Linked DNA regions of Saccharomyces cerevisiae S288C. The protein of the gene in region 3 purifies or fractionates together with the protein of the main gene of each other region. This does not show direct contact. Each region holds a gene or a part of one and is shown on either strand. Other genes may lie near its edges.

The links.
Region 1: the proteins of ARB1 (region 3) and TIF11 purify together in Saccharomyces cerevisiae (affinity purification with mass spectrometry, with the first as the bait; one large-scale study listed by BioGRID). This does not show direct contact.
Region 2: the proteins of ARB1 (region 3) and FAS1 purify together in Saccharomyces cerevisiae (affinity purification with mass spectrometry, with the first as the bait; one study listed by BioGRID). This does not show direct contact.

Annotation. Positions count from the first base shown.
Region 1 is NC_001145.3:787,407-791,524, forward strand, and holds TIF11 (translation initiation complex factor eIF1A), read right to left. Parts: upstream 2,434-4,118; coding exon 1,972-2,433; downstream 1-1,971. Other genes in the region: tRNA methylation protein TRM732, read right to left, coding at 1-1,477; TPS3 (trehalose 6-phosphate synthase/phosphatase complex subunit), read right to left, coding at 2,799-4,118.
Region 2 is NC_001143.9:98,208-107,283, reverse strand, and holds FAS1 (tetrafunctional fatty acid synthase subunit FAS1), read right to left. Parts: upstream 6,614-9,076; coding exon 458-6,613; downstream 1-457. Other genes in the region: LOT5 (Lot5p), read right to left, coding at 7,643-8,563; YKL183C-A (uncharacterized protein), read left to right, coding at 8,677-8,889. UniProt on the Saccharomyces cerevisiae protein: Fatty acid synthetase catalyzes the formation of long-chain fatty acids from acetyl-CoA, malonyl-CoA and NADPH.
Region 3 is NC_001137.3:221,396-226,935, forward strand, and holds ARB1 (ATP-binding cassette family ATPase ARB1), read right to left. Parts: upstream 3,805-5,540; coding exon 1,972-3,804; downstream 1-1,971. Other genes in the region: YER034W (uncharacterized protein), read left to right, coding at 451-1,008; EDC2 (Edc2p), read left to right, coding at 1,244-1,681; PHM8 (bifunctional nucleotidase/lysophosphatidic acid phosphatase), read left to right, coding at 4,494-5,459; Smc5-Smc6 complex subunit KRE29, read right to left, coding at 5,463-5,540. UniProt on the Saccharomyces cerevisiae protein: ATPase that stimulates 40S and 60S ribosome biogenesis.

The DNA.
Region 1 (4,118 bases), on a different chromosome or scaffold from region 3:
TAACCAAAAGGTCAATGAGCAACCTTAAAAATGTGACATCCTGTAAAATTGGGATAGAAAAAGGATATTCCCTCTTATTTTGGTTGTCTAAAAATTTTTGTGGAGTAGATTTATCAACACCAGACTTGATCAGAATGTGCATAAGTTTTAATGAGGTCACGTTCGCCTGATATAAAGTACCAGGGGCCAAATTATATTTTATAAAATTGCATAGCCAAACCAAAAAGGCTCTAGCCTCCTCAACTTGCGCCAACTTTTCCCTCTGTTCGTCCGGAAATTTCTCAGCCTTTTTAAGCTTTCTGGCATCCCTAGCTAAAGAGTATGCGCAGTCTCTGGTTCTAAATATAAAGTGTTTCATCGAACTGCAAAAGTAATTTCTGCGTTCAAGTTCAGTGTCCACGAAGAACACATATAGGTACTGTTTTATAGTTTTGAAGACGAAGGGACGAATAGGCTTTGACTTTTTTGTCGAAAAGGTCAGTATTTCAAATACCTGAAGTTTATACTCATCTTGCTCTATGAGTTTGTTAACAGAATCTACAGTGGTATATTTATTATCACAAAATGGTTCTTCTTCAATCCCCAATTCTTGGCCAATCTTTAAAAGTGAGAGCAAAAGTGATGGGTCTTTGTTAGACATACATTCTAGGAAAAGTGTGAAGGCCGAGTTTGGCATATTTTTGAATAATGGAATCATAATATACAGATTAATGGATTTGGTGTATTGTTTGTCGTGAATGTACTTTAAAGCACAACTTTTCCATAATTGTATCCATTCTTGTACAAAAGACTCGTTCTTTTTGAAATGCTTTTCGTAAATGTTTAACAGCAAACTAACAATGCATTTACCTACCGAATTTGCTAGCAAATCAGAGTTCATTAATGAAAAAGAGTTATCGATGAAATGAGGCTTTTTTTCTATAATATAATAAAGGTCAAAATCAGAAGAAAGGGCATCAATCAAGTAATACTGAACACGCAACGTAGATGGTACTTCTAATATTTCATTCATCCAATTAAATAAAACATCCTTCAAGGTTGACATAGGATATGTGATTTTCAATAAGTTCAGTAGTTTACTGAATAAATCTCTCAAGGCATTCATCAGTGGGGCTCCACCATCAGCCCAAAAGTCAAGAACATATTCAAAGATAATATTTGCATTCGCTTCAGTTAAGAGTTGCTCTTTTACCGCCGATAAAAATTCTTGAGAGTCAATTTTTTTGCTTGCAATTATTTGATGGCTCCTTAGTAAACAGATCGAAAAGGTATCTGGAAAAATTAACCTTGTGGACTCATTTAAGTTCGGTAATCCGTCCTTGATATACTGTATTAAATACCTGAAATCATGCTCAATCTGAGTTAAAACAGCATCCTTATTTTCATTGTTGATCTTTGCTGGATTATTAGCAATCAAGAATTCTTTGACACGGAAAAGCTCGATTTCCTGACTTGAAAATTGCACATCCGTAGTCATTTTTTGAAACTTTCAGTATGAAGTAATGTGTACCTCGGGAAGCTCACAATAGTATTGTCATTTTCCTGCGATGAGCATTTTCTGGTAAAAATTTATTTTAACTTTTCATTTTCTTTTCAGTCTAAAAAAGTAAATTTTCGATGGAAAAAACGGAAGCACTCATGAGTGACAATAAACAGCATCGAAAGAAAAGGTAATAAATTAAAAACGATGAATGGATAAAACGTATTCGCAACGTGCTCTTTGCTCAAATTTCTCGTGCGAGAAAATTTTTATTACGTCTCCTTAACGTCCGCTTGAAAGAAACCCTAGAAGGAAGATTAAACGACTTCTTGAGGTATTTCATTTTTATTCTTTTTTTGATATCTATATATAAGTATTTCGATATAGTAAAAAGAAAACCCTTTCCTATGATGGACTAAAAAATATAATTATAAATAAATTATGAATAGTTGACGCATTAGAAGATATTGAGGACACTTGTTCGGCCTAAATTAAATGTCATCAATATCAAGTTCTTCATCTTCACCTTCCTCATCATCTTCATCAGCGTTACCAAATTCAAAGTTAACGTCTTCATCAGATTCGAAACCAAAGTTGTCTGTTTCATTAATTTTGGCGTTTTCAGGAAGTTCACCTTGGTTTTTCAGTGTTCTGGCTTCATCTAAATTATATTTGTGGACAACATCACATTGGTCATCTTGGAAATCTCTTAAGGAAACAAGAATAATATCACCTTGTCCCATCCAGACTTTCTTTCTTAACTTACCTCTAATATGGGCCATTCTCTTATTACCATCAAAGCAACTGGCTTCGACTCTTCCATTACCCAACATCTTGGTGATTTGAGCATATTCTTGGCCTTCTTCCTTATAAATAAGTTCACGCTTTGGACCGTCAGAGTCGTTCTTACCTCTTCTACCTTTTTTACCACCTTTAGTGTTTTTCTTACCCATGATGAACTTTGCTCTATATTACACTAGTGCTTTTGCAAGTACACCTTCTACATAAGTAAAGGTTTCTTTCAGCAAACTAAAATTGAAGCTTTTTTCAATTTTTCACTATTACTTCTTGCGGCGAAAACAAAAATGAAAAAAAAGTGAAAAATAGCGTTCGTGTATAATGATTATTATAAGATCTCATTAACAATATGAGAAATAACCCACATTGTTAGTTGAAACTTGTTTGTAATTTATCGTGCTGTATATACATATATACGTAAAAGGAAGATCGTACTTTTATATTTATAATCGCTCGTAAAAACTATAACTGAAGAATAAGAAAGAGAACATTTTGAAAGTACAGGAGGGAAAATGATCGCTTAGGCGGCTGTCAAGTCATGAAGGATGGTAAAAAGTTCATTGACACCATTGATATGTTCCTTGGCATAAGTGGATCTTGAGCTACCGTAAAGAATGGTGTAACCAAATTTTAGATTGTTCTTTTCAACCTCTTGCTTCACTAATTTAAATAATGGTTCAATAATAGGTGATGTCGAACCGGAAACGCAAACGAAATCTACCTGGTTTTGGAAATGCTTCTTATTATTACCGACGGACATCGAAGAGGATGTTCTTGATAGAGATATTCTGCTATTGTCAGTAGGACTGACGCCACTGTTGTAAAATTTCATCAAAAACTCAGCGGCGGCTAAGGCTAGCCCCGTTTGTTGAACGAAGACAATATCCTTATGCACATAAGCGTGAATATCCCTGTCATCAAATAAGGTGTTTATGTGCGTAATGGCTTCCCCAATAACAGTTGGGACTCGATCTTGATCATCAGCGTTTTCTGTATGGAATCTGATCATAGAATCAGCGATTTTGTAGTATGAACCAGGTAACCTCTCGACTTTCTCGTCAAAGATCTTTGCCACCTCTTTCATCCAATCAAGCTCTTCCACGATGTTGTACCACGACCCATTAACTCTTACGTAGGCACCATTCTCCGCTATCAATCCGATGTTTAGAACACCATTGTATAAGCTTTCGAATGTATTCTTTGTAAATGAACTCAAAACGTAAACTATATTATTTGAACTCAATTCACTTAGCAAGGATAGCATTCTGGACGTTGGAGGTTCTGAAATCTTGAAGATAAATAAATGCTTTTTGGAGGCTTTGTAATCAGCACAGAATTTTTCTGGAGCCAAATTGAAAACAGTAGACGTTTCTTGGTTGGACTCCCAAGCATTATTTATGTATTCGAAGCACTTTGTAATCCAATTATCCGAATCATGTTCAATAACAGATTTGAATAATTTTTTCCACCTACGCCTTTTTTCTTCTGGAGACATTTCTAAACTTCTCTTGATACTTTGTGCTACATGATTTATATCCCATGGGTTTATTAAGATGGCACCTTCCTTTAGGACAGAAGAACTACCAGTGAATTCAGATAATAATAGAGGCGCATTTTTTTCGAATGAACTGACAATGAACTCATGACATGTTAAATTCATACCTTCTCTCAGCGCATCCACAAGGAAAACGTCAGCTTCACAATTCAATGCCAAATATTGAGCAAAATCTAAATCTTGATGCAAAAAGACCACTGGTTGAGAGATACTGATGTTCGAAGACAAAGAATTGATTCTATCAACGACAACCATAATTTGACGTTCGTACTCAGGATCGGAACT
Region 2 (9,076 bases), on a different chromosome or scaffold from region 3:
GGTAGAATCTGCAGATGTGGGATTGTAGCTAAATCGTGAAGGTTCGGTTATTGCAGAGATGTGCGGAATAGACACTTGTTTCAACTTTTCGAGTAAAGAGTTGAAGTAGCAGTTTACACTAATAATGGAGCTGTTTTTAAAGCTAATTTCTTTAGAGCAGAACTTCGCTAATCATCAAGGTCATCGATTATGTTCGAATATCGTTGATTTTTAAACATAACCCAATGGAACAGAAAATTTTTTCTTCAGCATCTGCCCCGCCCTAGCGAGGGCTTGCGGCGGAAAAAAAAATTCATATAGCATCTGTTAATCCCAAGTATATTATAAAAATACCTAATCAATGTATCTATTTATAATAGGAGAAGAGAACTAAAATCATAAGCCAGCTATATTAAACATTAGTATACAGGAGTTTCAAAGTTAAATATTTCTTACGGTTATATAATCACTTAAGAAATTAGGATTGTTCATACTTTTCCCAGTTGTCGATGATTTCCTTGATAGGTTCGGAGCCAGTCAAATCATAAACGTCCTGGAAATATTCCTTAGTAACCTGGAATGGTTTTGCAGTCAAGTTTGGAATGTACTTTCCGGCCAATCTAGCAACCTTCACATTTTCTTTTATGATATTCTTCTTCAAGAAACTCTTGAATGGTTTAACACCATTCATCAAGTAGGTGGAATGGAAAGGAACAGAAATACCAACTAATGGGATACAAGCAAAACCTCTCTCCAATTTAAGTGGGCGAGGCTTGACAGCAGATTTCTTGGAAGCTTCGTCAATGATCTCAAACAAATGACCTTCAACTTCTTCCAAAGATAAGGACTTTTGTAGTTCAATAATATCAATTTTTTGTAATTTGATGAAGTTTAGAACATTGGTAACGGTGTCTAAAGCTCTTAGATCACCAGCTGCAACATATTGTTGGTTTTCAACGTTGTAGTTGACGATTTCAACCAACCAGCCGGTTCTCTTACCAACTCTCTCAACAACATATTGCAAAGCTTCTTGAGAGAATGATGCAGCGACTCTACCTGGGTTAATGGCAATCATACCATAGTTGGATCTGCCCAACTCATCTCTTGGAACAGCAACTTGCATAGTCATACCTCTGTAGAACACAACTTCAACTAAAGATTCGATAGACATAACATCAGCCAAAGAGGCCAAAGCAGCATACTCACCTAAAGAGTGACCAGCAAAAGTAGCATCGGCTGGGATCAAACCTTTAGATTTCAAGTCTTCGAAAGCAGCTTTTTCCATCAAAGTTAAAGCTGGTTGTGTAAATTGAGTAGCAGACAATAAACCTTTTTCAGATCTAAATGTGTAAGAAGTACTGTGCTCATTAATTTCCTTGAAAATTTTTTCAGTCTTCAATTTTCCATCCACGATAGTCTCAAAGATCATAGCAGAATAGTTTTCTCTGATCCTCTTACCCTTTTCACCACCGAAGTGAATTGTTAAGTTAACTGGGTTGTTAATGACAATGTCTAAGATAGAGAAACCATAAGTGTCCTTGAAATGGTTGTCAGCTCTATTCCAAACATCTTGAGCAGCTTTAGAAGTTTTGTATAAGTCCATACCCATACCTTGTTCTTGTGAACCTTGACCAGTGAAAACGAAGGTAGTAACAGGTTGTTCAATTTCGGCTTCACCAGTCAAAACTACAACGTCATCTTCATTTCTAGTTTCAAACTTTATCAATTTTCTACCATTGATCATACCAACATGTTGAATCGATGTTTTCAAAGCAGTGTTAGGCAAAACCATGTCAACAAATTGACAAGTGTAGCCACGTACCCTGGATGAAACACTGTCAGCAGCCCAGTTTTCAATCAAAGCACGGACGGAAGCAGAAGAAAACATACCGTGCGTGATAGTACCTGGCAAGTTTGCGTAAGAGGCAAAATGACGTGAAACGTGAATTGGATTCAAATCACCAGAAACTCTAGCGTATGGTTCGTTGGTACTTGGAGTGTACGAATCAAGTACTGCAATTGGAATAGGATTTTCTAGATTGACCTTTTGTTCCAATGTGGAACCGTTTCTCTTCAAGAAATCAACAACAGGGTTACCGTGAGAGGCACCGGCTTCGTAATCGACAATACCGATCTCCACGGTTTCTTTGGTTGGCAATTCAACTTTAATTGGGCCAAAACATTTCACTGAAGAGAAGATGTTAGCATTCTTGAAAGTAACTTCAGTTTCAGTTTCGAAAGTCAAAGTTTTGTTTAACAGATCGAAGTCTTCATCGTCCAATTGGAACCACTCCTTAGAGCGCAAGACAGCTATATCTTTAGAAGTTTTGATGTGCATTTGATAAACAGGTTCAACAGTCTTTTGGAAAGTGTTTTCAAAGTCAGTATAGTTGCCTCTGTAGAAGAATGAGGAGGTGACTTCCATGACAGGCTTGCCATTTCTCGATAATGTACCTACCACATCGACAATCTTTCCTGTAGGTTGGTTGACGACAGATTCAATAACAGCAGTAGTTGAAACAACATCACCAACTTGCAGTGGCTTAGCGCCAGGAATCATCTTGTAGCCGTTAGACAAATGAACCAACTTCAATAAGTCACCATCGACCGTATTAGGGAAAATGGCCTTGATGATGGCTCTCCATCCGACAACAATAGCAAAGTCCATTGGGGCCAACATCGTTCTATCAGGTCTAGAAACGAAGTCTTCACAATTGTTTCCAACAGCGTGTGTAAAGTCATAAACTTCTTTAGCGGTGATCTCGAAATCTTTGCCCTTAATGACATCTCTTGGGTCAAAGTCCAAATTGAAAGGCTCATCAATCCATAATTTCCAGTACATTTCCTTAATTCTTTGGTTTCTGTCCTCCATAACTTCAGAGATTGGAGCAAAACCATTATCTGGGTTGAAGTTGTACAACAATGGCAAGCTGACGGGCTTACCATCCATAGTTCTGTTCTCAATCATTTCCATTTGGATTATGTTCTCCTTCAACAACTTCAAAATAACAGTTGGTTTCAATTCACCTTGAACAGGTTCTGAAAGAGTGACAACAGTCTTTGAAGAAGTATTGCCGTTGGAAATCTCAACAACCATTCCTTGGCTTGGCTTGAAAACTTTTCTAATTGGGTTAGAAACAAACATTTTATCTTGAGTGATAAAGGAACATAAGAAACTTGCATGTCTCCAGTTAATTTCGGATCCCGCCAAAGCCTTAAACCAGCTTTCTTCATCAGTAGAGGATGTTGCCTTAAAAACAGCTGAGTCTTCAGATACAGAGGAAGAATCAACTTGACTTTGTACGTCTACAGGGCTTTCACCACCAAAGTACTCAACTGCTGGAATCTTTGACTCATCGTCACCGTAATATTGATGTAGTAACTTTTTGATGTGACCATCGTGAATACCATCCATAATGCTCTTAATTGGTTCATCGATGACTTTAGTGAATTGTGCTGCAACAGGTCCATGTAGGATACATGTTCTTTGAACGTCTTGGTCGACGACGGCTTCCAAGTGCTCAGATTGCCATAACGAATCTTTTTTGAAAAAAATCTCGAATCTACGATCCAAAACTGGAACAAAAGGCACTGGTTTTTGCATTGGATTTTGACACATGCTCAAAAAGTGATCAATATCTTGCGCATTCAAGAACTGTTCCCTAGCGGCAGGATAAGCATTAAATACTTTTTCAATAGCTTCATCAGGCTTGTCTAGTAGAGAATAGGATTGGATTAAAGACAATGTCTTACTTTTAGTGAAACGTTCTTCGACACGACGTAGGAAATCACCAGTAAAGGTTCTCCATGTGACATCAAACCAAGAGTTGGTAGATCTGATGAACATTAATTCCACCAATCTCTTTGCAACTTCTTCGTATGTCATTGTGGCTAGGTCACGGGCTTGACCGTTGACGGTAGCAAACCATGGTTTTTGGAAATCGGCGTTCAATCTTGAGATAATGTAATCTCTCTTTGCTTCCAAAGTTGGTACCAACTTATTCTTTGGTAAGTTGAAGATGGTTTCGTCGAATTCCTTCCATAGCATAACACCACGAGTGGCAATTTTGTGAATTGGTTCACCCATTTCAGAGCGAACAGTGACAATACCACCAGTTGGCTTCTTGTAGGTTTGTTCCCATTTATCATCAGGAACACCAGTACAAGCAGCAATACACTTCTTAGCATCAGGAGAAGTTTTAACTTCCTTAGCAATCATGACCCTCGAACCAAATAGGAAACCATCGAATGGCATTGGTGGATAATCGAATTTTGTGGACCATTCACCGGTTAAGTATGGGTAAGTGTCATCAGCAGAACCGAAACCAGAACCGAATATCAACATAATGTTTGGATGTCTTCTAATCTTGGAGTACATTTGTAACATTGGAGTGTGGGCATCTTCGAAAGAATGATGACCACCACCTCTACCACCGGTCCATTGTAAAGCTATTGGGAAGTTTGGATGTGCTTTAGCAATGTTTATAACTTGCGAAATAGCATCAATGGAACCTGGTTTCAAACCCAAGTACTTCAAACCTAATGTCTCTATGTATTCACTAGCAACTTCCAATGATGGGACACCAGCACCAATGGTCAAGAATTGAATTGGATAACCTTTGCTTCTTAGTTCCTTGATTAATGGAATACCCCATTGTAACATAAATGGATTGACGTAGATCAAGTTGATACCGAAGGTACTACCCTTTTCTATCTGAGAAACCACAGAATCAATAGCGGCGGTCATACCTGCTGCGGAAAAGTAACCACCACCGGCCAACTCAATGGTATAACCAGCATTTGTGGTAGCAGCTACGAAATCTGGAGAAACAGTACATGGTGTCATACCAGGAACCAATAAAGGTGGTCTACCGATTAATTTAGAAAATTTTGTTTCGACAAAAATTTTGCCTGATTTGTTCTTAATTAATTTTGGATGGTATTCTTCCAACCAGTTTGGATTTTTCTTCAAACCATTACTAGTAACATCAAAGATTTCTTGCTTGAATCCGTAATCATCATCTGGGTTAATGTCGAGAGTACCGGCAACGATAACACGAACACCAGTACCATCTTTATTACGATGGGTTAAAACACCTAAACCGGAAGCTCCACCTGGACCAAAGTCTAATATGTGGGTGGCTTTGAATTGTGTAGTAGTTTCCCATTTGACAGGTAATCTAATGATGCAGTCGACGATTCTCTCGGAAATGGAACCTGAAAGGACTCTTAGATCTGAACCATCAAAAGTGTCGTAAACGGGGATTTGAATATCTTTAGCGTTAAAGCTGACATTGTTTTTGACTAAGTCTTTGTTAATCAAATCTGAAGCTGGAACCAATAGATGGGAATGGAATGGTGATGCAACAGGTAAGAACCTATTGGAGAACTTCAATTTTCTTTCGCTGAATGGGATTCTTGATTGATCCAGTCCAGATGGGGCCTTGGCCTTTCTTAAAGTCAAGTTTAAACCATATAATGATTGTGGTGGGCCCGATACGACTAGATTCTTCGCACCATTGACTAGAGAAATTTCAACTTGTTTACCAGCTGGCAAATGAGAGTTAGTCTTATTTACATAGTCTTGAACTTGTTCTTGAGTTAGATTGGAAATGGACAACATTGGAGATGGAACACCTTCATTGTTTTCCAAGGAATCTTCCAAGATGGATGGTGGTAGGGAAGTGTTTGGGTATGCTTCGTAACAACGAACACCGATGAAGAATAATACAGTAATTGCTTTTCTTACGGAGACGAAGAAGGATTCCCAGGAATCCGTCTCAGCTATGGCGACAGCAGTAACCAAACCTTGAGAGTGACCTGTAGCACCTTTTAAGTAAGATCTTAACTCACCTGGAGTGAAACCCAAAAGCTTGGCAGTAACTACGTAGTGAGCCAATTGAATGACACCAATTAAGGGGCATGAAATTGGAATGGAAAGTAAATAGTCCTTGTCTGGGGTATTTGAAGGGTTCTCCAACCATTCCAATATGTTTAAACCTTGAGTAAAGACTTTTTCAGCATCTAAAGTAGTTCTAATCAGTTCACTTAAAGTTTCAGCGGAGAACTTGATTAAATCTCCCACTAAGACATGATAAGTTTGATATAGATCACGCAATTCTTCAAAGTAGTCGTCGGTGTTACCTTGACCACCGAAAATGGCTACCAATTGTGCGTTACCCTCGCCGACGGCCCTAAAAAGAGCAGAGTTGGATTTTTTGTCAAATGGTCTCTTAGCCATTATTCTGGCGGTAATATAATTTTTAATTAGTTCTTTAGTCTTCACTAAAGTTGTGTCGTTTTCCTGTAATAGTTTAGCAGCCAAGGCGTGAATGTCATTGCCTTCTAAATAACAGTTTTCAAATTCTGTTAAGCAAAGGTTCAAGACCTGATCGAATTGACCGACCTTGGAAGGTTCGACTAGAGAAGATACGTAGCCAAGGAATTTCCCCACTAGTTCAGCAGGTGTGGTAGGCTCGTCATCTGCAGCAAACCCTTCAGTGGGTTCGGGCAAAATTTTATTAAATTGTTCTTGTAATTGCGAAGCAATGAAAAATGAAGCGGTTGGTACCAGAAGCACGTGCTCTAAAGAACCGTGAGATAGGGTTAATGGTCTTGTGGAGTAAGCGTCCATAATGAGCGAATAATAGAGCAGTTAGGTGTGGCGAATAAATATACTAAAAAGAGCGGAATCCTAGTCTATAATCTGATTTTCCGGATGATGTTCTTGTAGTTTCTTTTCTTTATATATTTTTCAGAAATATTCAAAGAGCATATAAGAATATATTTGACCTTGAATTGTATGGAAAAAAAGAATTAATAAATTGAAAAAGGAAGAAAGAAAATTCGTTTAAAAAAGTTGTTTGTTCTTCTTTGTAATGTAAGTGATAACAAGTATGAAAAGGCCCAATGTACTTTTTTATATTTTTCCCTTGGTTCTTTTTCCTTATCAATCAATACCTTTTTTTTTCTTATATTTTTAGTTTTCCCCTATAACTTTGTTGAAAGCCGTTTATATATATAGATAATGATATATATACCCAGTTTTAGTTGGTCCTGCAGAATAGAAGGAAAAAGGAAAAGTGTTTGGAGAAGATGGTTCAATCGATAAAAAGTATGCCAAAAATGCCAAAATGCCGACTGTAATCTCTGATTATTGTCGCAGTGAATCGTTCAACACTTTTCGGTGATTGGGAAAGGCACACTTACTGTCAGACCAAAAGCGTTAAATAGCAACAACGTATTGTTCGCGATTATTTGTATTTTTCAACAATTTCTTTTAACTTGTGCGACGGAAAGATCGCTGTTGCGTAATTATGCTTGGCTGGGCGGCATGTGAAGTTTTTGGCCGTCGTTTGTTGGAGGCCAGGGGAGTAGTGAACCGTGCCTGCACCTCGTGTATCGTGATGCGGAGCAGACGCTGCTATAACCCGGCCTCCGAGGAGCCGTGGGTGCACGGGCATGGAAGGCTGATGCGGACCTTCTACGGGTTTTTTCACATGCTGCCGTTTGCTGAAACATCTTAACTAAGCCTTCGCGCGGCCATACGGGCCCTCAAGACATTCATTACTTGGTATAGAAAGGTATATACGAAGGCAAATAGCCATATTCGTAGAGGACGAGACCGCATAGTACAGCGGGATGTTCCCATAATAGATGTTGTTCATTCATTGTCTCTGGAGTTCTTTCTGCCAGCAAGATTTTGATTTGCGTAGAACTCCATAGACATACTTGCTTCTGGACCACCCCTAGAGACCACGTTGTCCATAACGAGGTCGCCATCCAGATCGTCTGCCAGCCCGTCGTTCTGATACACGGGCGGCCCGTGAAGGGTGTCTCCAAGCCCAGAATACGTGGCGTTGAGATCTTGCGCACCCTCAAACGCCATGCTTGGATCTTGGTATTGTTCCTGGTCTTGATCTTGTACGTCCTCACCGTGCAGGTCCATGCATACGGCTAGTGCTTCGTTACAATTGTTTACCAGGTCATCGCCCCTGTTCACGCCGAAGTTTTCGAAGGTGAAAAGGGTTTCGATTTCGTTGTTATAATGGCGATCGTATATTGAATATTTGGGCCTGATAGTCAATTCCACGCTGCGCACGGTGAAGGCATGTGCTTCTTCGCCGTCGAATTCGCAGGCCTGTGGCGCGAGGCTTTGGTAGAGCATGTCCAACACTTCGTCTCTTTCCAAAGTCAGCAAAATTTCTAATTGAAGCCCTTCCCTACCATCTGGTAGCCGTCTTGATGCATGGTACAAAACGCTGCTGTAGGGAATTTCCAGCCCATATCCCAAGCCATTGAACCAAATGATAATGCAGCTGTTGAGTATAAACAGGTCTGTGCCATACTCACTGGTGTCTTGTGGGTTGGCTTGATTGGACAAATGAGAGCTCGAACAAGGTGTCAGGGAGCCTAGTATCAGGTCCCGACCTCCGCCAAAGAGTATTATGTATTCTTCATTATTCAGTGCAGAAAAGTTGCCGTTGAATCGCGGCTGCGTCTTCTTGAATTGGTTATATGGTATGACGTTTTCGACCGATGGTTTGGTCCTTGCAATTTGGCACTTTGGTTTTTTTTTCATCATTTTTCTTTTTATTTTATGGTTGATGCTTCTTTTGAAATAAATATTCGTCTATCACTGTAGCTATGGTCTATCTTGGCCTGTGTTGAAGTATGGTGAACAATCCGAAGTAATGGATGTATTCAAAGATCTTGCTATACCGTAGTAACGTTCTGTTCATGAACTTTTTCTCTGTTTTTGTATGTACAATTGGTACTTTATTTTTGGTTTTCGCAGATGTCTATGTTCTTGCGTCGGCATTTTTCCAAAGTAAAAAGGAAAAAGAGACAAAGTTTAAGCATTTACACTACCAAAAAAGATCTTGTTTCTTTCTAGCAAATATACACTAAACATAAAAAAAAATTATAAAAAATTGTAAAAAAAATATAAAAAAATACTTTTGTGTACAATGGCGTACAGTGGTGGACAGGAAAAATGCCAGAATTTTCTTGAATCATCATTCTCTGACTCTTAAATAGCGTGTATAACTCGTTCATGAACACTCAAATTCTTAGTGACAATGGTTGCATTCAGCCT
Region 3 (5,540 bases):
AAAAAAAAAAAAGGAAAATAACCAGCTAAGATTTAAGGTACAAGAAAGCGGTTGCACCTCAAGTAATGATAGTTATTAAACCTTGGATTGGACCAGATGTTTAAAATTGTTTTCAATAGTAGATTTGCAGTCGTAAATGCGTTCTCAGCAATATCATATTGTGTTTATGAAGTATTACCAAACGGGTAGAAGAACGGTTTAAGAGAATATGTCCGGATAAAGCGATCAGGAGAAAAGCTTAAAACCCAAAGTGGTCAATCTGCAGCCCATTTAGGCACTCTGCATTTAACCGATACCCGGATTGAAGAAAGCTGGCGGGTGTATGGGTGAAGGAGAAGAAAGGAAGTGATTAGGAGAAACCTCATGGAGATGAGCACATGCTACAACTAATAACGTTATTCTACTTAAAACGAGCAAAACAAAAAAAAAAACAAGACAATTGAAAACGCAATGGATGCATTCAGCTTAAAGAAGGATAATCGAAAAAAATTTCAAGATAAACAGAAATTGAAAAGAAAACATGCCACACCCAGTGATAGAAAGTACCGGCTATTGAACCGCCAAAAAGAAGAGAAAGCTACCACAGAGGAGAAAGATCAAGACCAAGAACAGCCCGCCCTGAAGTCAAACGAGGACAGGTACTATGAGGACCCGGTACTCGAGGACCCGCATTCTGCAGTCGCCAATGCAGAGTTGAACAAGGTGCTAAAAGACGTCCTCAAAAATCGGCTCCAGCAGAACGACGACGCCACAGCCGTCAATAATGTTGCTAATAAAGATACTTTGAAAATCAAAGACCTCAAGCAGATGAATACGGATGAGCTCAATCGTTGGCTCGGACGGCAGAATACAACATCGGCTATAACAGCGGCTGAGCCCGAATCATTAGTCGTTCCCATTCACGTACAAGGTGATCATGATCGTGCGGGCAAGAAGATCAGTGCCCCTTCGACCGATCTACCGGAAGAACTAGAGACCGATCAGGATTTCCTTGATGGACTGCTCTAATCGCGCGGTACGACAGTTACTGCGTGAAAAGATTATCAGCGCCCCTTTTTTTCTTCTTTGTTCTTAACGTTTCTTTTTCTTGCGGCTTATGCCCGTACTTATAAAACAACGGCCTCCCGTGCCCTATTACCTTCCTGATAGACCGGACAATAACGTCACTACATACAAAGTTATACACTAACAGAAACTCAAACACAAACGTTTTTATAATAGTCAAAATTAAATATCTCTCATAATGGGTTCCGAGACAAAACATTCTGCAAAAGTCAAGATTGTCACAAGGGAAAGTCCTCCTTCCGCCAAGGAGCACATGCGCCCCACTAAAACTCAAATATTAGTTCCACCGACGCAGAGTTTGCCCAATGGCAAGAAACCAAACTTCGGTAAGTCTACAAAACAGCGGCGAGAACCTAGGGAACGCACCTCGAAGACGGGACACGAGGACGATAAGGCAACGATGGTCACTGTTAACATAGATGCCTTCCTACATGATAAGGCCCCTAAAAAAAAATCGTGCAAATACAAGAAGAAGAAAACGAGACAGTACCAGGATAGGGCGGCGGCGTCGATCGATTCGAAACCGCACGTAGCTGGTCATACGGCCTTTGCCGGTGCTTCGTTCACAACAGATATCCCACATGAGGCAGCGCTACCCAAACCTAGTTTTGTTTGAGTAGCTGTGATTGTAAATTTTTTTATTTCTACTTGAGCGGGCGGGCTCTCATTTTTTTTTTTGGGGTTTTATTTAGGTCGGATTATTCATAAAGATGGCATTTATATACATTTTTACGCAATTACCCTCATATTCTTACACATACGGAGAAGTCATTGTTATATCTTCTTGCCTTCACATTGTTATCGGTGATTTTCTTTCTTTATTGATTGATTAGTTATATAAATTATTGCTATTAAAATACATAAAAGGGGAAGTAAAAACGTGCACGGCGCAGATCAACTTCACAATTACAAAACAACGTTCTTGGCCAATTTGTTCTTATATTGCAAAATGGATCCGTCCCATCTGGTAGCGGTCTTGTTTTCCACAACGAAAATATCTTGGGCAATTTTGTCTAATAATCTGAAATCATGCGAAACGACGACGACACCACCGTTAAATTCGTTGATGGCGTCGGCCAAGGAGTCGATGGTTGGGATATCCAAACCATTGGTAGGTTCATCTAATAGTAGGACATTTGGTTGTTCTAAAGCTAATAAAGCAAAGACGACACGAGAACGTTGACCTTCTGACAAGGTAGCCATTTGAACGGTTTGACCTTCCCCGGTTAGCCCGTAGCGACCTAGTTGGCCTCTCCAGAATTGGAAATCTTGTGAGATGTTAGAGTACTTGTCACGGACAAATTCTAAAGCAGATTTTGTCAAGTCCAGTTGATCTTGAGAGTGTTGCGAGTAGACACCCAACTTGACATGGGTATGTCTAGAAACACGGCCAGATTGTGGGGTCAATTCACCGGTCATAATCTTCAACAATGTGGATTTACCAACACCATTTGGTCCGACAAGGGCAATACGTGAGTCCATATCGACACCAAAGTTCAAATGTTCGTACAAGTTTTCGGATGGGTTGCTCTCATAATGAAATGAAATATCATCGAATGCTAAAACTGGTGGTGGCAATCTTTCCACTTGTGGGAATCTAAATGAGAAAACTTTGTCAGGGACGACAGGTTGGACTAAACCATCTGCTTCCATCTTGTCCAAAATTTTTTGTCTAGATTTAGCTTGTTTCACCAAGTTAGCATAAGTACCAGCAGATGCAATGAATTTTTTAATATGTTGGATTTCCTCTTGTTGTTTATTGTATTGTTTCATTTGATTGGTTTCCAATTCGGATCTTGTCTTGTGATAAGAATCATAGTTACCACCGTAAGCAGTTAGTTTTTGAGCTCTCATGTCAATCATATTGGTACAAACACCGTTCAAGAAATCTTGAGAGTGGGACACCAAAACTAAAGTTCTGTCAAATCTCTTCAAATATTCTTCTAACCAAACACAAGCTTCCAAATCCAGATGCGCAGTAGGATCATCCAACAATAATAGAGTTGGCTTAACGAAAAGAGCTTTTGCCAACGCAACACGCATTTTCCATCCACCAGACATATCTTTGGTTTTCTTCAAAATGGTCTTCTTGTTGAAACCTAGACCGATCAAAATGATAGCAGCTCTAGATTCAAAGGTGTCTGGATCCAAAGAGTCCATTCTTTCATATAGAGGCTCTAATAACTCGGACTCAGGACCATCTTCCAAGATAGTCTTTTCGACTAAGTCTTCTATTCTTTTCAATTCGTGTTGAGCTTCAGTGACAACGTAGTCCAAGGCCGACAATTCACTTGGTTCCGCAGGTTCGTCCAATAAATAAATATCAATATGCTCAGGAATAGGATATTCTCTAGTAGCAAGAGCCTTTAAGAATGTTGACTTACCACAACCATTTTCTCCCAGAAGACCATATCTACGGCCGTAGTTTAATTCTAAACCAGAATCTTGGATCAAAACTTTACCGTGGAACAGTAAAGAAACAGAAGATAGCTTGATATCACGGGAAGTCTCCAATGAACTCAAAACACCAGTGACAACACGATCTGAAAGACCATCCTTATCTTGTTGCAACTTCATCATCTTGATTTCTCTAGCGGCTGCATCTACCTCCGATTCTTCAGCAGCAGCCTCCTTTTTTCTACCTAGCTTTCTGATGGTTTTACCGGCAGCGGCTTTCTTAGCCTCTCTTTCAGCTTTCTTAGCATCTCTCTTGGCCTTTGACGCAGATACTGGTGGCATATTTGGTTCTGTCAAGTTACTGTTTGTAGCACTGAGGGGAAGAAAACAATTTTTGCAAGAAAAAAGTTAAGAAAGAAGAAGAAAAACTACACGGGCACTAACATGTTAAATATGATAATATTTTTTTTTATAAGAGAATCACTACCAAGTTACCTGAACTACGTCAAGGAAAAGCCATTAATTGAGATGAGGTGAACGAAGAAAAAAAAAAAGAAAAAAATTTTTATTTTTTTTTCCATCGGTCTCCCCCCTCACCTTTCTTTTTTCATTCGTTTAAAGTGAGATTAGGGTAATGCATTTCGTATTTAGTGAGTAAACGTCAAAGGTGATATAGGGGGTTTTTCTTTTTCCAGAAAAAGAAAGAAAAAAGCCGGCGGTCGCCGCCGGAGATGGTTGAGAAAAAAAGGGGGCAGCAACGTGCTTCACATACAAACCAAGTTCTTGGATCTGTACGATCGTTTCTGCGGGTTTTTCCGTATTTGCCGCAATACTGAAATGGCTCATTATTAGGAGATGTGCATATAATGTATATACATACATTTAGCATATGTAATACATTCGTACATGTATAGAAATATATGTTTATATATATATATATATATATATGTATATACGAACTCGGTTTAACGCATAGTTGGTAAAAGATTTAATGTAGATAAAAAACACATAAGTTTTATACGCACGTAATCATGACTATCGCTAAAGATTACAGAACAATTTATAGAAACCAAATCAAAAAGCAGATACGACTAAATCAGGAGCATTTGCAAAGCTTGACACATCTAGGCTCACAAATCAATTTCGAGGTGGATCCTCCCAAATTACCGGATCCGGATCCTGCTCGAAAAGTATTTTTCTTTGATATCGATAACACTTTGTACAGAAAATCTACGAAGGTACAATTGCTCATGCAACAATCATTATCAAATTTCTTTAAATACGAATTGGGGTTTGACGACGATGAGGCAGAACGCCTAATCGAATCGTATTATCAAGAATATGGATTATCCGTGAAAGGTTTAATAAAGAATAAACAAATTGATGACGTCCTACAATATAATACATTCATCGATGATTCCTTACCTTTGCAAGACTATTTAAAGCCTGATTGGAAGTTAAGGGAGCTGCTGATCAATTTAAAGAAAAAGAAGCTCGGCAAATTTGACAAACTATGGCTGTTTACAAACTCGTACAAAAATCATGCCATCAGATGTGTTAAAATATTAGGTATTGCTGATCTATTTGACGGCATAACCTATTGCCACTACGACAGACCCATCGAGGAAGAATTCATTTGCAAGCCAGATCCAAAATTCTTCGAAACAGCTAAATTGCAAAGTGGGTTGTCGAGCTTTGCAAATGCCTGGTTTATTGATGACAACGAAAGCAATGTGCGGAGCGCGTTGAGCATGGGGATGGGCCATGTTATCCATTTGATAGAGGATTACCAATATGAGTCAGAAAATATTGTTACTAAGGACCACAAAAATAAGCAACAATTTTCCATATTGAAAGATATCCTTGAGATTCCATTGATAATGGACGTTGAAGTTTACCGTCCATCCTCTATTGCCATAAAGGAAATGGAAGAGTTGGAAGAGGAAGGGGAAGCAGTCAACTGGTCAAATCAACAGATCAATGTTCAGTCATCATGACTGTTACCTGATTTTAGAAAACAAATTTAATATTCCCTTCAGGATAGAAATTTCAACATCATTTGTCGTTTCATTAGAAAT